Linked DNA regions of Macaca mulatta. The protein of the gene in region 3 purifies or fractionates together with the protein of the main gene of each other region. This does not show direct contact. Links are inferred from orthologs where the notes say so. Each region holds a gene or a part of one and is shown on either strand. Other genes may lie near its edges.

The links. The genes of interacting proteins can lie anywhere in the genome.
Region 1: the proteins of ARPC5L (region 3) and ACTR3B purify together in Homo sapiens (affinity purification with mass spectrometry; 3 studies listed by BioGRID and IntAct, counting the BioPlex papers as one, with this or other methods). This does not show direct contact. The link is inferred for Macaca mulatta from reciprocal best matches to the Homo sapiens genes ARPC5L and ACTR3B.
Region 2: the proteins of ARPC5L (region 3) and ACTR3 purify together in Homo sapiens (affinity purification with mass spectrometry; 6 studies listed by BioGRID and IntAct, counting the BioPlex papers as one, with this or other methods). This does not show direct contact. The link is inferred for Macaca mulatta from reciprocal best matches to the Homo sapiens genes ARPC5L and ACTR3.

The regions. Positions count from the first base shown.
Region 1 is NC_133408.1:192,182,796-192,187,024, reverse strand, and holds the start of ACTR3B (actin-related protein 3B), read right to left. Parts: upstream 2,803-4,229; 5' UTR 2,741-2,802; coding exon 2,697-2,740; exon of another isoform or gene 2,567-2,696; intron 1-2,566. UniProt on the Homo sapiens protein: Plays a role in the organization of the actin cytoskeleton.
Region 2 is NC_133417.1:23,708,192-23,712,445, reverse strand, and holds the start of ACTR3 (actin-related protein 3), read left to right. Parts: upstream 1-1,452; 5' UTR 1,453-1,661; coding exon 1,662-1,705; intron 1,706-2,274; exon of another isoform or gene 2,275-2,436; intron 2,437-4,254. UniProt on the Homo sapiens protein: ATP-binding component of the Arp2/3 complex, a multiprotein complex that mediates actin polymerization upon stimulation by nucleation-promoting factor (NPF).
Region 3 is NC_133420.1:22,905,293-22,909,355, forward strand, and holds the start of ARPC5L (actin-related protein 2/3 complex subunit 5-like protein), read right to left. Parts: upstream 2,804-4,063; 5' UTR 2,718-2,803; coding exon 2,568-2,717; intron 1-2,567. UniProt on the Homo sapiens protein: May function as component of the Arp2/3 complex which is involved in regulation of actin polymerization and together with an activating nucleation-promoting factor (NPF) mediates the formation of branched actin networks.

The DNA.
Region 1 (4,229 bases), on a different chromosome or scaffold from region 3:
GTACATATGTTAAATTTTCTGATTTTGATGATTAGTATGTGATTCTAGAAGAGAAAATGTGTCCTCAGAAAGTAGACATTGAAGTATTTTGGTATAAAAGGAAGTGGTGTCTGCAACTTACTCTCAAACAGTGCAGGAAAGTAATAATAATATGTATGGACATACAGACTGTGACAAAGCAAATGTTAACAGTTGGTAAAACTGGAAGAAGAGTACACAGTAGTTTTTTGTTCTCTTCCAGCTTTCAGTAGATTTGAAATTATTTCAAAGTAAGTTGAAAAATGCAAAAGACTTCATTTAAAAAGTTTGGCTCAGAGAAGTGAGACTGGAGTTGTGAAATATTCTCTGAAAACTATGCAGCCTAGTCATCTCTTTAAATAGATGAAGCTTTATTTTTGGATTCGGCAGATCCCTTTGTCCATATTATCCTGGCCCCCAGCACACCAGTGCTCACTCAGTCTCAGAGTTTAGCAGAGGAGGATTCAAGGATACTGGGATGAAATTTATTTGTAAAAAATACTGTTTATCACACTGTCCAATAAATCATTAGTGCCCACTATGTATAGCTCCACATTAATGTTTTTACAATTTAGTACTACAAAAAAGGCTTTTTTCACCCAAGAAACAGATATTTCTCTTGATTTCTGATGACAGAAATTACATAACTATGACTCTTATGATGTTGTTGGATAGGAAGACTAAGCTCAAATGTGCGGACCAACTTCAGCAGCCACTGGGCTAAAGCTCAGGGTGACTTCCTAGGTCCCTTCTTTTCCTTTGGCTTGGTTATTTTTATCTGAATTTTACCTTTTTTTTTTCCTATTTTGAGGCAAAACTGAAGCCAAAAATCATTTTAGCTCTCTGGGAAATACAAGATGTGCTCAAGCTGGAAAATTCGGGCTCTTTCAGGCTCCTTCTGGCCATACACTGGCTATGGGGAATTCACACGGGGACTCCCTGCCACCGTTTCTAAGTCTTGACACCAACTTCTGAAGCATGACTTTGGGCCACAAAATAGCGATCTATAGAAGCTGAATCTCCAAGTGAGCCAAGCTACATTAATCACTTACCTCAAAAGGTCAAAAGTGAGCATGACATTTTGGGTATTTATAGCAAGAGAGATGAGTAAGGTCCATGACTTACTAATATGAAAGGTATGCCAACTCTGTGAGCATTATTTTATTGCTACTATCAAGAAATCCTTTATACTTCAATAGTTCTGCAAGACCAAAAACACAAAGCAAAAATCTCACATGCAAATATGGAAATGAAAAATAATTTCATCTGCTGGTTTCATTCTTGACACAATCAGACCTGAGGGGACATGAGATGAACCCACGGGGCGGGGGGGGTGGGGAGGAGGGCATGAGTTAAGAGGAGTTGTAGTATCAACAACACTGACTTTGTCTTGTTAAGTTTTAGGTAGAAAAGCAAGTTCTAAAATAAACAGCTACAAAGGTTGATATGATGTGTATTTCAAAAAGAACTCATACAAGCAAAGAGGCAGATTTTTCCAGTCCACAACCACTTCTGGTCGCTTCAGCAGTAAAAAGGAAGGAACTACCAGTAGGAGATGGACTGTAGCAAATTAAAGACGGCACCCCCACAAGGTTGTCAAGGAAACCAAACCGAGTGCATTTTTCTATAGAAAAGAATCAAGGGTAAGGTGAACATGCCGTGGAACATTCTGTGGCAAAAATGATTAAAAACCCTTCTTGAAAAAAATCTCTAAGAGACCAAATTTACTTCCACGCTATTTTACTAAGCACTACATCCATAACGCAAGCAGGCAAGCTTGTATTCCCAAACTACCAGCTACATGGATTCAGCAAACAGCTTACTACAACCAGCTAACTTGGGTCACCGATATTTCGGGACATTTCCTACGATCTCTTTAATAGCTTAACGGCATCGAAGGGGTCACACTCAAAAAGTTAAAAACAAAAACCTGTACCACAATTCCACACACACGCTTTCCCAAATTTAGGGTGTTTTTCAAAATGGAGTCTTTTTAAACACATCATCTTTCAGCGAAAAGGCAAATCTATGCAAACCAAAGCGAGAGCTTGGCCTGAGTGTGCCATTTCATACTGGAAAAGCGCAGGGAGGGCAGTAAAAAGGGTGTCAAGTTGGGAGATCGATGCAATTCTCTCCACAAGTAGGTGGTAAAGAATCCTCAGCCAGGAGGAATGACATGCACACGCGGGCACAGAACGAGGGTCAGTGCTGCGAACGCTGGAAGGCAGGGACACCGTTCGCTAGGAGGTGAGTGACGTTAAAGGATCTGCAGTGATCTGTGCCTCACGCTGGCGAATATTCCTAGGAGGGGAGATCCCGCGCTCCCGGTGCCCCTCAGGGTGTCCACCCCGGCGGCGGCCGGAGCCGGGCTGCGGGTCCAGGGACCCGGCCACGTGGGCGGGGGAGGCGAGGAGCGCCGGGCTCGCTCAGAGTGGGCACCGCGTCCCTCCCCTCCGTGCTTTTCCTCTTGTGACCCTTCCCGGCGGGGAAGAGGGGGTTTTACGACGTCAAGGCAAGGCTTGGAGGGAAGCGGCGGCCGGCGCCCCACCTGCCCAGGTAGGTGGACGCGGGGCTCAAGCCCGGGGCGACGGACACAGCTCGACCTCCAGGTGAGGTGGACGCCGGGGGCCGGGAGCGGGGCCGCGGAGGAGCGGGGGTGGGCGCCGAGCGGCTCTTACCCGGTGCCACAGTCCACCACGCAGGGAGGCAGGGAGCCCGCCATGCTCGGGACGCGCGGCGCTCGGCCCCGCTGGCCCCCCGGGAGCGCCCCGCCGCTGTCCGCTCGGCCACCCGCTCGCCCTGCGCGCCGCGTCTCCCGCGAGCCTCCGCAGCGCCGCCGCCAGGAGCCCGGATGCTCGGCGGCCGACACGTGACGTCACTCCCGGGTTGACCAATCAGAACGCGCGTGTGCCCCGCCCCCTCCCCTGGCGCGCCATCTTTAGTGCTGGCAGCGAGGCTTCTTGGCCCCACACGTTCAACGTTGCTGCTGGAGAGATTGGGGTTTATTTTTAACCAACTTACATGAACGTGACCCCATTTCCGAGGCCTGGCGCCTTTCTCATCCTGTAACTCTTCGCTCGAATGTCACCTTGCGAGGGAAGTTGTTCCTGATCACCCTGACTAGGTCCCCTACCGGTACTGTATCCTCTGCCTCAACAAAGTGTTGGTTTCATTCCTAACCCTTAAAGCAAAGTGTTTATATTTTTATATTTATGTATTTGTAGTCTGTCTCCCGTACTGGACTATCAGATCTTCTAGGATAGGGCTTGAGTCTGTCTTAATAACTATTGATGAGCAGCAGGTGCTTAGCACAGTATTTGGTGTATATGTGGAAGTGCCCAAATGCTTGTTGAATGACTGAGTAACCTTCCCCATATAGCAAAAAAAAAAAAAAAAAAAAAAAATTAGTTGGAATTGCCTGGGCGCGGTGGCTCACTCCTGTAATCTCAGCACTTTGGGAGGCTGAGGAGGGCGGATCACAAGGTCAGTAGTTCCAGACCAGCCTGGCCAACATGGTGAAACCCCTTCTCTACTAAAAAGACAGAAATTAGCCGGGGGTGGTGGCAGGCGCCTGTAAGCCCAGCTGCTCGGGAGGCTGAGGCAGGAGAATCGCTTGTACCTGGGAGGCGGAGGTTGCAGTGAGCCAAGATGGTGCCATTGCACTCCAGCCTGGGCAACAGGGCGAGAGTCCATCTCAAAAAAACAAACCAAAAAAAAAATTAGTTGGAATTATTATACTTAACACTGCCTAAATTTTTCTCAGAAGAAAAATCTGCAAAACAAATGCTTGGACAGCCTTAAGGAATGAATGACCTTAGACTGAGTTAATCACACCAAGATCACTCCTGGAAAATGTTTTCAAGTGTCAAAGATGGGATGATTGCCCAAAAGTTCTTACCGAAACCAAAGAAGGCAAACACCACCTACTATATTATAAAGTTACTGAAAGCCCCACTTGCCACTTGCTTCCTGCTTCTTGCCCGATCGTAAATTCTTGATACTAATTTTTTAGGAGCTTTCTGGAAACATGTCGTTTTTTTATTTTGTTTTTTGAAACAAGTCTCACTCTGTTGCCCAGGCTGGAGTGCAGTGGTGCAATCTCAGCTCACTGCAACCTCCGCCTCCCAGGTTCAAGCAACTCTCCTGTCTCAGCCTCCCAAGTAGCTGGGATTACAGGCGCCCACTACCATTCCCAGTTAATTTTTTGTATT
Region 2 (4,254 bases), on a different chromosome or scaffold from region 3:
ACTCTACAAGAGACCTCAACTATTTTGTCCCACCGAATACTCAGAGTCAGCACAGTCCCTGCCATAACAGAGTAGGTAAGCAATACTTACCTGCCAAGTGAATAAATGAAACACCCGATTCCATCCCCCAGGCCAGCTTAATACCACATTAGATGATCTCACGGACTGAATAAGACATCCTTCCTTTTAAAGAATATTTTTATTTTAGCTTCACATTAGCAAACTCAGAATGGTTTATTGTTAAGATCAGCCTGGTAGAGAGGAAAGCTATTAACCTTCTAGGGTCCTAAAGTGGAACTAGGAACTGATTAGATACGCAGATTTTCAGGCATTATTTCAGACAGCCCAGTCAGAGAATTCTGGGGGTGTGGCCCAGCAATCTGTTTTAACAAACCTTTCGGGTGATTCTGACACACACTAAAGTTTGAAAGGTTTCTTTAAGGCTTTCCAGTTTTCTTTTCTTTTTTTGGAGGGATGGTGGTGGTGGTGGGGGGGTCTCCCTATGTGCCCAGACTGATCTCGAACTCCTAGCCTCAAGCTATCCTCTCCTCCCACCTCGGCCTTCCAAAGCATTGAAATTACAGGCCTGACCCACTGCGGCCCGCCTCCGTCTTTAACTTAAAAAAAATTTTTTTTGGGGGGGCTAAATCCCTTCTATTATCCCGCTAGTAGAATCTTACTACTCCTGAGGGTAATCTTTGTCATAGTCCAAAAGCCTTGAATAAAGGCTGTTTGTAGTTTTGCAGAATATATTCCTGGGCGGTTTGCCTTCCTCAGGAGCTCAGGCCTTGGGAGGTGGGGGTTGGAGGGCAGGGCTACATTCTGAAGTCCTGTAACAACGCACAAGTACAACTGAATAAAACTCGGAACAAAGGCATCAGGGCCACGGTGCAAGCCTTTGTTCATCCGTTCCCCGACTGCTCACCCTGTGTGATATCGCTCTTTTCCACCCAGAAAAGCAGCCACTCAAGTTTTAAGAATGGATGCATGCCGCGGACGTTTTCGATTAGGCCGTTTTCTCCCAGGCACTGGAGGATATTCGTGGCTGCAGGAGGCGCTTCCACTCTTTCCTCAACCTAGCAGAGAAGTAACTGAAACTAACCCAAGGGCTACCACCGAAAAGCCCCTTCCAGCTTCAGAAGCAGAACTAGAAGCTCGGCTAGACTTCTCCGTCTCTACCCTCCTGGAAAACCCGCTGTGGATTTCACTAACTTCAGGATCGGAGCCCCGGCAGGCGAACGCACCTTATTGCGCATGCTCGCTAGCCCCTCCCGCTCGGAGCGGAAGGGGGAGTGCTCGGGGCCTGGGCCTGGCCTGGCCGGGGCGTCGGCACCGGCGGCCATCTTGGCTTCCCGGGGAAAGGCGGCGTGAGGGGAAGAAGTTGTAGGGTGGGGGCAGGAGTGGGGAGGAGGGAAGAGAGAGGGGGAGGAGGCCGCGGCGGGGCAGGGCGGGGACTGCCTGCCTGCTTGGGTTGCGGAAGTGATAGCCGCTGACCGAGCCTGCTGCTTTCTTGCTACTGCTTCGGCTTCCCGGCTACCCCCCGGACGGTGAAGGCGGCCCGGCTGTGGATGGTCAGATAGCGCCTGTCTCCCGCCGCCAATCTCTGGCCCCTAGCAGCACGGAGCAGACGGCGGCAGCAGCAGCAGCAGGCGAGGAGGAAGATGGCGGGACGGCTGCCGGCCTGTGTGGTGGACTGTGGCACGGGGTAAGGGGGCTTACGGGCGGGGGTGGGGAAACTGAGGCGGAGGAAGGAAAATGGCGGGGGAGGGAGGAGGCCGGGAAATGAATGGTGCGGCGAGGTGCTGCCGCCGGCTGTCAGTCCTAGACTCGCCGGCCAGCGAGGGGTGGGGCCCGGAGCCAGGGCCTCGCCGGTCCCCTCGTTTCTCCCTCCTAGGACTGGGGCGGGGGCGCGGGCCCCAGATTCAACCCCCAACCCTCCCTGCAGCTTCCTCCGCGCGACCCCTCCCGGCCCTTCCCCCACGGCGGTGGGCAGTGCCGCCCAGAGAGTGCTAGGGACGGTCGTCTTAGGGGTGGTCCCCGGGCCCGACCCATCCGGCTTTGCTTTCCCTCCGTGTCCCTTTTTGCCAGTCGGTGTGGGGACCCAGGGGCCGAGCTCGGGGACTGGCCTGGTAGAGGAGCTAGAAAAGAGAAGCGCTCCTGGTAGGTTTTGCAAGATCGCTGTGACAACATTCTGCCCAGGGTGTGGGTGGGGAAAGGGAAGAATCGGACTCTGAAAATGGGAACCTACAGTGGGGTTTTCATTTGACCACCCACCTTCTCCTTTCGACTCCCGGTCATTGCCATCTCCCTCTGCGTTTCAACCGGTGAACCGAGTCACATTTTAATTCGAGGGAGAAAGATGTCATGTGTTACTTCTGTAGCCTCAAAAAAGTCCCCCAGTGAGCAAGCGCGCTGTAACTTCCTTAGTTTTGTCAAAGCCGCTTCCTGCTTTCAGTCTTTTATACCCTTATAAGGTAGTTTTTAGTTTCCAACCTGAACACATCTTATTAGAACTTTTAAAATTAAGCAGATTTTAAAGAGACTGAATTACAGGTGCTTGGTATCCATTTATATGACTTAAAAAATGTGCTTATGTTTCATGGAGAGGGGAGAAAGGAAGCACCCTGGGAAATAAACTAATTTAAGTTGTATTCGTTCATTCTGTAAAGGTATCTTGAAGGAAGCAGAAAGGTATAGAGGTATATAGGAATGTGTTTAAGTTGCAAGTAGTTACTCCTAGATCTGTAGGGTAGTTTGCTAAAATGTAGAATGGCTTAAAAGTGATCTTTCATTTTGTATTAATAGACATTTTAGAGAGTTGTACCACACTCATAACTACATAGAGAATAGACTACTCTTATTTTAATGTAGAATCACTGCTTCACGATGACTTATAGGAAGGGTTTTTTTTTTTTCTGTTCTGATTACATCTCTCCAATTCCCAAAACACTCCCAATTTTTTTTTTTTTTTTTGAGGGGGAAGGCAGTGAGAGGCTTGTTTTTTTATTAATTATAATTATTAATTTCATTATTGTTACTTAAAAGATTGTGTGTCCTTCACTCTTTACGTGAAATTTCTTTAATCTTCATTCTCATAACTAGCTAGTGTGGCAGTTTCTAAAATCCCAATTAGGTAGAGAGAAACAACCAACTTCTTAATATTCTCCCTAGGAAAGCACTAGCCTAGATTAGCCTTGGAACTTCCATGTATTTTATTGATGAACACTTTATTATAAAGTTTTTCATGAACACTTTATTATAAAGTTTTTTCTTAATTGGTTCTCATTTCTCGGAACCAATAGTTTTTTTTATTTCCCCCTTCTTAGTCTAATTGATGAGTAGTTTTATGTCTAAGTTCAGTTTTAAAATTAGATTTGGCCTGAGTCAGTAGGATAGAACTTTTTAAATGTGTTTTGTTAAAGTGACGAATATTGCTACATAATTAATGCTTTAGAAATTACTGAGTTGTCAAAAAAAATAGTGTAAATAACTGTGGCCCTAAGAAATAATATGGTAACATCTCAAGTAGTATGTTACTTTTCTAATCTCCATTTTTCCCTCTTTGAAATAGTTTCGAATTAGTATACAGGATGTCTCATTGAGGTCATCTGTCCTTAAGTGACCTCCTTTCCTAAAGGGCAACCTTGAATTTAAAACATGCTGAATGACCAGTAGGATCGGGGAGAGGGGTTCAATTTAACCTAGAGTATTTCTGTTTTAAAATTACAATTATTACAATAGTATATTTTTAAGTTATTACACTGGTTTCTCTGATAAGGAGAGGTTGTTAACTGCACTTTGATGATTTGAATGGAACTGATTAGGAGTCCCCTTGCCACCTCCCTCTCTTTACCATTTGTCACAATCTGAAATTCCCCCTTTAGAGTTTCAGTTATTTTGGTCCTCAAAAGGCTTTTTGGTCTTGCAAGTTGCCAGTGGTGCCTCCTGGGAAGTTACACTTTCAGCTTTATTAGCACATGGAGGATAAGTCCTTGAGGTCGAGGACCCTGAGATAAGCATCTCTAAGTATGGCCTTAACAGGGAGCTTTTACATTTCAAAATTCTGTGGGCCCCGAATGCAAATTGTGCACCTATAATTTGTCTATTTCTTTATGCTTTAGAGAATGCATTCAGTTCTTAGGTCTCTAAATTACAATTACCCACTTAGCTTAAGTAAAAAGTTGTAACCTGAATCAGGTTGCTCATTTCATTCGTTATATAAATTAGGGAAAAGGTGGCTGGAAAAAAGTGGCC
Region 3 (4,063 bases):
AGGGCCTCCCTGAAATCACCTATCATTCATGAAGCCGGCTGTCACACTTGGCTGGCTTTAGACCTTTTCAGAGAATAGGCTGTGGTGCTGGGGGAACCCTGCCCAGCCCTTGATCTCTAGATCTTCCTCAATCACGGCACAACTGACACTGTGGACCCACGATTCTCTGACGTGGGATCTCAGCTGTGGGTCATAGGCCTCTGCCCACTGGATTCCAGTGGCATCCCCAAGCTGTAACTATCAAAATGTTTCTAATTTCCTGAGGTGGAGAGGAGGGGTGCAAAATCGCTCAAAACCACTGCTCTGGCCAGAGCCCTGATCCAGAAGTCTAGAAGCTGCTTCACTGAGGGGAAAGGAACTCATACTTTTAAATCGCCACAAGGTCTCGGATCCTGTGCCTGGTGCTTTCACATGCCATCTCATTCCAAAAATCCCAGTAACAACAATCATTATCTCATTTGAAAGGCAATGGAATTGAGGCTCAGAGAACGGAAATTACCTGCACAGGGTCACAAAACTAAGCTGTCTAGATGGCCCTGGCACCCAAGCTCCTCCCACAATCCCGTGCTGCCGCTCTAGCTGCAGACCTGAGCAGACACTTGCTGTGTGCCCCGTGATGCTGATGTTAGCCCATGAGGCTCCCACAGAACCTAGGAAGCCAGCACGGCTGTCTGCCACGTCACAGAGGAGAATGCTGAGTTGTGAAAGGGTATGTGACCTATCCGAGGTCAGAGCCAGAGCATGATGGCGCGCGGTGTGCGAAGATGCACAGCCGAGTTCCTTCTACCCCATCTGCGTGATCTCCCGCCACACACACTTCCCTATATAGCCCCAGGACAGGGTTCCTCTCTGCCCTCCCCAACCCCAATCCCTCTATCCCTCTCCCTGCTCCCCTGTCCTCAATGGTCTAAGTCCAATTCTTGGCACATGATAGAGACCCAATAAATATCAGTTCCATTCTCCTCCCTACCTGGGTCCGGTATTTGCCAGGGTTTCAGTTCTCTTTATCCGCTAACCTCCCTTTCCCCAACCCCAGGTGGAACACTCTCCATGGTAACAAGGTTTCTGCCGCTGCCATGAATGGAGAAACGACCATCCCCGGGATGTGCTAAACCCAGGCCTCTAAGCAGCCTCAAGGAACCTGTCACCAGGCAGGGGAATCCCAAGACATGACCTTCAACAAGGCTCTGCACCCAGACCAAGGCAGCAGCTGACAGGCCTGACCTCCTCATCTGTTCAATGAGGGTCCTGGGCCAAAGGCCTGACCTTGGAGCCCCCTTCAGCACTGACTCTCCATAAGCCAGGCCCTGCACCTGACTACAACCAACCTTCCCTCCTGGGGACCCTTCCCTTGACCCCATTTCATAACTAGGGTGGACTGGGAGATCCTGATGGGGCAGGAATGACAAGCTTGAATCTCCACTTCCGAAAACACATTCCTGTTCAAACCAAGTCTGAAGGTTTTCGTTTTAAAGGCACACTGAGGAGCACTGCCGGGCTCCCCCTAAAGCAGCAGGCCCCACTTTCCAAGCTGAGTCAACTGGTTCAACACCGAGAACCTGATTTATGTACAGCATGGGCCTCCAACCCTGCCCCCGCCCGTGCGGGGGGAGGGGACAGGCTTCCTGGAACACCATTTGAATAAAGAAAAATCCTTCCGGTGAGAATAAGTCAGTTTCCTGCGCTCATACTGCTAAAGGACCAAGCAAGGCTGTGACAATCACCTCTATTTTTAATCTTTTCTAAATGCTGTTTTCTGTGGCCACAAGAACAGTCATTTCCAGGCGTGGGGCTCTACTTTCACACTTCACTTCAAGGTGTCTGGTTTTTCTTAGCTCTGAACTACTAGTTCTTTCCGCTGCTTCCTGCACCAGAAGGGTACTGGGGGGAGCCAAGACTCACTTGCTGAGCGTAGCTGAGACCACCAAGGTGACCAGAGGAACCACAGGGTTTCCCTTTCTCAGCATTAAGCGGGAGGGTTAGACTGACTGGGGGAGGGGAGGCACAACCTTAGACCCCAGGGCTGAAATAGGGCGGCCGCCTCCACTCCCTCCTGGGTCCTGTCTTCCCCACAGCGGTCCACCCACCTATCTTCACGCCCTGCGGCAATCTGGCCCCGGAAGACCGCGCCCCAGCCTCACCGATCACTCGGTTACTCAGATACGGCTCACCTCCGCCCTGCCGCCGACCCAGCCCCGCCATAGGCCCGATTTCCTGCAAGGGAGGGACGGAGTGCTGGGGCCCCCAGAAAGGGACAGCGTGAGGGGACGAGGAGGCAAGAGGGGAAGAGAGCCCGGGGCGCGGGACCTGCGGGGCTACCGAGGGAGCCCGTCCACCGGGTCCAAGGGCCTGCGGGGCTGCGCTGCACAAGAAGGGGCCAGGGCTGGGGAGGAAGGACCCAGGGAGACCAGGACTCAGGGGAGCACGGCCCAGGGGAGTCAGGTCGGCAGGGAGTTGAAGGCTGACCTGAGGGGGCCGGGGGTCGGAGACAGCAGAGGCCCGCCCGAAGGGGCCCGAGAAGGTGGGAAGGCCGCGCGCAGGCCCGGACGCCGCGTCAGGAAAGGATATTGCCGCAGGAGCCCGTCCACCTCGCTCGGGTCCGGGCCTGGCTCCGCCGCCGCCGCCGCCGCCTCCTCCTGCTCGTCCACAAATTTGTTCTCATCAAATTCGTCGATGTCCACCCGGCGGAAGCGCGAGGACAGCGTGTTCCGGGCCATGGCGGGAGCTCGGCGCCCGCTCAGCCGGCTCCACTCGCGGCCCGACCTCAGCTCTGCTCCACTCGCACCGGCTCCGGCTCGGGGGCGGGAAGCGGCCACCGGGCTGCTCCCAGCACCTCCTCCACCGCCTCCGCGCGCAGCCGCCGCCGCCCGCCCACTTCCGGCACACGCCGGATCCGGAAGCGTCATCGGGGCGGGGCGGAACCTGTCCCGTGGAGTGCGCTATGGGGTTTCCGCGGCCTCTCCGACCTCAGTCTCTCTTCCGCGGAGCCTCTGTCTTACCACTGAGGAGTGGCCGCCCGGTATCCTTGCAGGCCCCGCATAGTGTGTGCCGTAATCGCGCTGGTGATCCGGCTTTCCCGCGCCTCCGAAGAACCCCTGGCCTCAGCGGGGCCCGGCGCGGGCTTCCGGGGTGATCCTTGCCTGTACGGGGGAAGACTGGGCGCCCGGGAGAAGGCTCGGGGCTCTACTTCTCGGGTGCTGGGCAGGCTTCTTGGAGAAGAAACCTTCGAGCTGATGACTGAGGGATGAGTAGGAGTTCCTGTGCCCGGGGAGTGACGCGGGAGGGGTCTGTGTCTTGGAATCTTGAACGCCGCCACACTTAGCACGAGGAGGTCTCCTTTACACAGAGGTGACCCTGTTAAAGGAGTGGGAGGCTTTAAAGACGTTTAGTGCGATCAGAGGGCTGACAAGGCGTTGAAGACATTGTGACTCGAGGGATTTTGCGGCCCCACGTGTGTAGCAGTCACCTTGACCAGGCAGTTGGGGCCCCAGGAGAGGGAGATGGCCCTGTGGCCACCGTCCTGGCAGGAGAGGCCTGGCTTGAGAGGCACATCTTGATAGAAACCAAATTCTCAGAATCTGAGATGCGGGAAAGCGGGTTAGGGAAGTCAAGGACGACTCTGAGGTGTCAGATTTGGTGCCTGGGCTGTTACCCCAGGGGTTCTGTTAATTGATCTTAGCCTTAGGGTAAGTAAAATGGGTCTTTTATATAATACTATGAAAACTGTTTTCATCTAATAGTACCCTTGTTAATAAAAGTTGGAATGTGATTCATTTTTACTGCTTCGAATACTTCTCATTGAACTGTGTCTAAAGATCAAAAAACTATTGCCAGACTATGATGCAACCTAATCTTCCGTGGTAACCAGGATACAGACTCCCATAGTGGGAAACTGGCGCTAAAGAAAAGTCTCCGCCTGTAATCCCAGCACTGCGGGAGCCGAGGCGAGCGGATCACCTGAGGTCAGAAGTTTAAGATCAACCTGAGCAAAATGCTGAAACCCCGTCTCTACTAAAAATACAAAATTAGCCGGGTGTGGTGGCGCAGGCCTGTAATCCCAGCT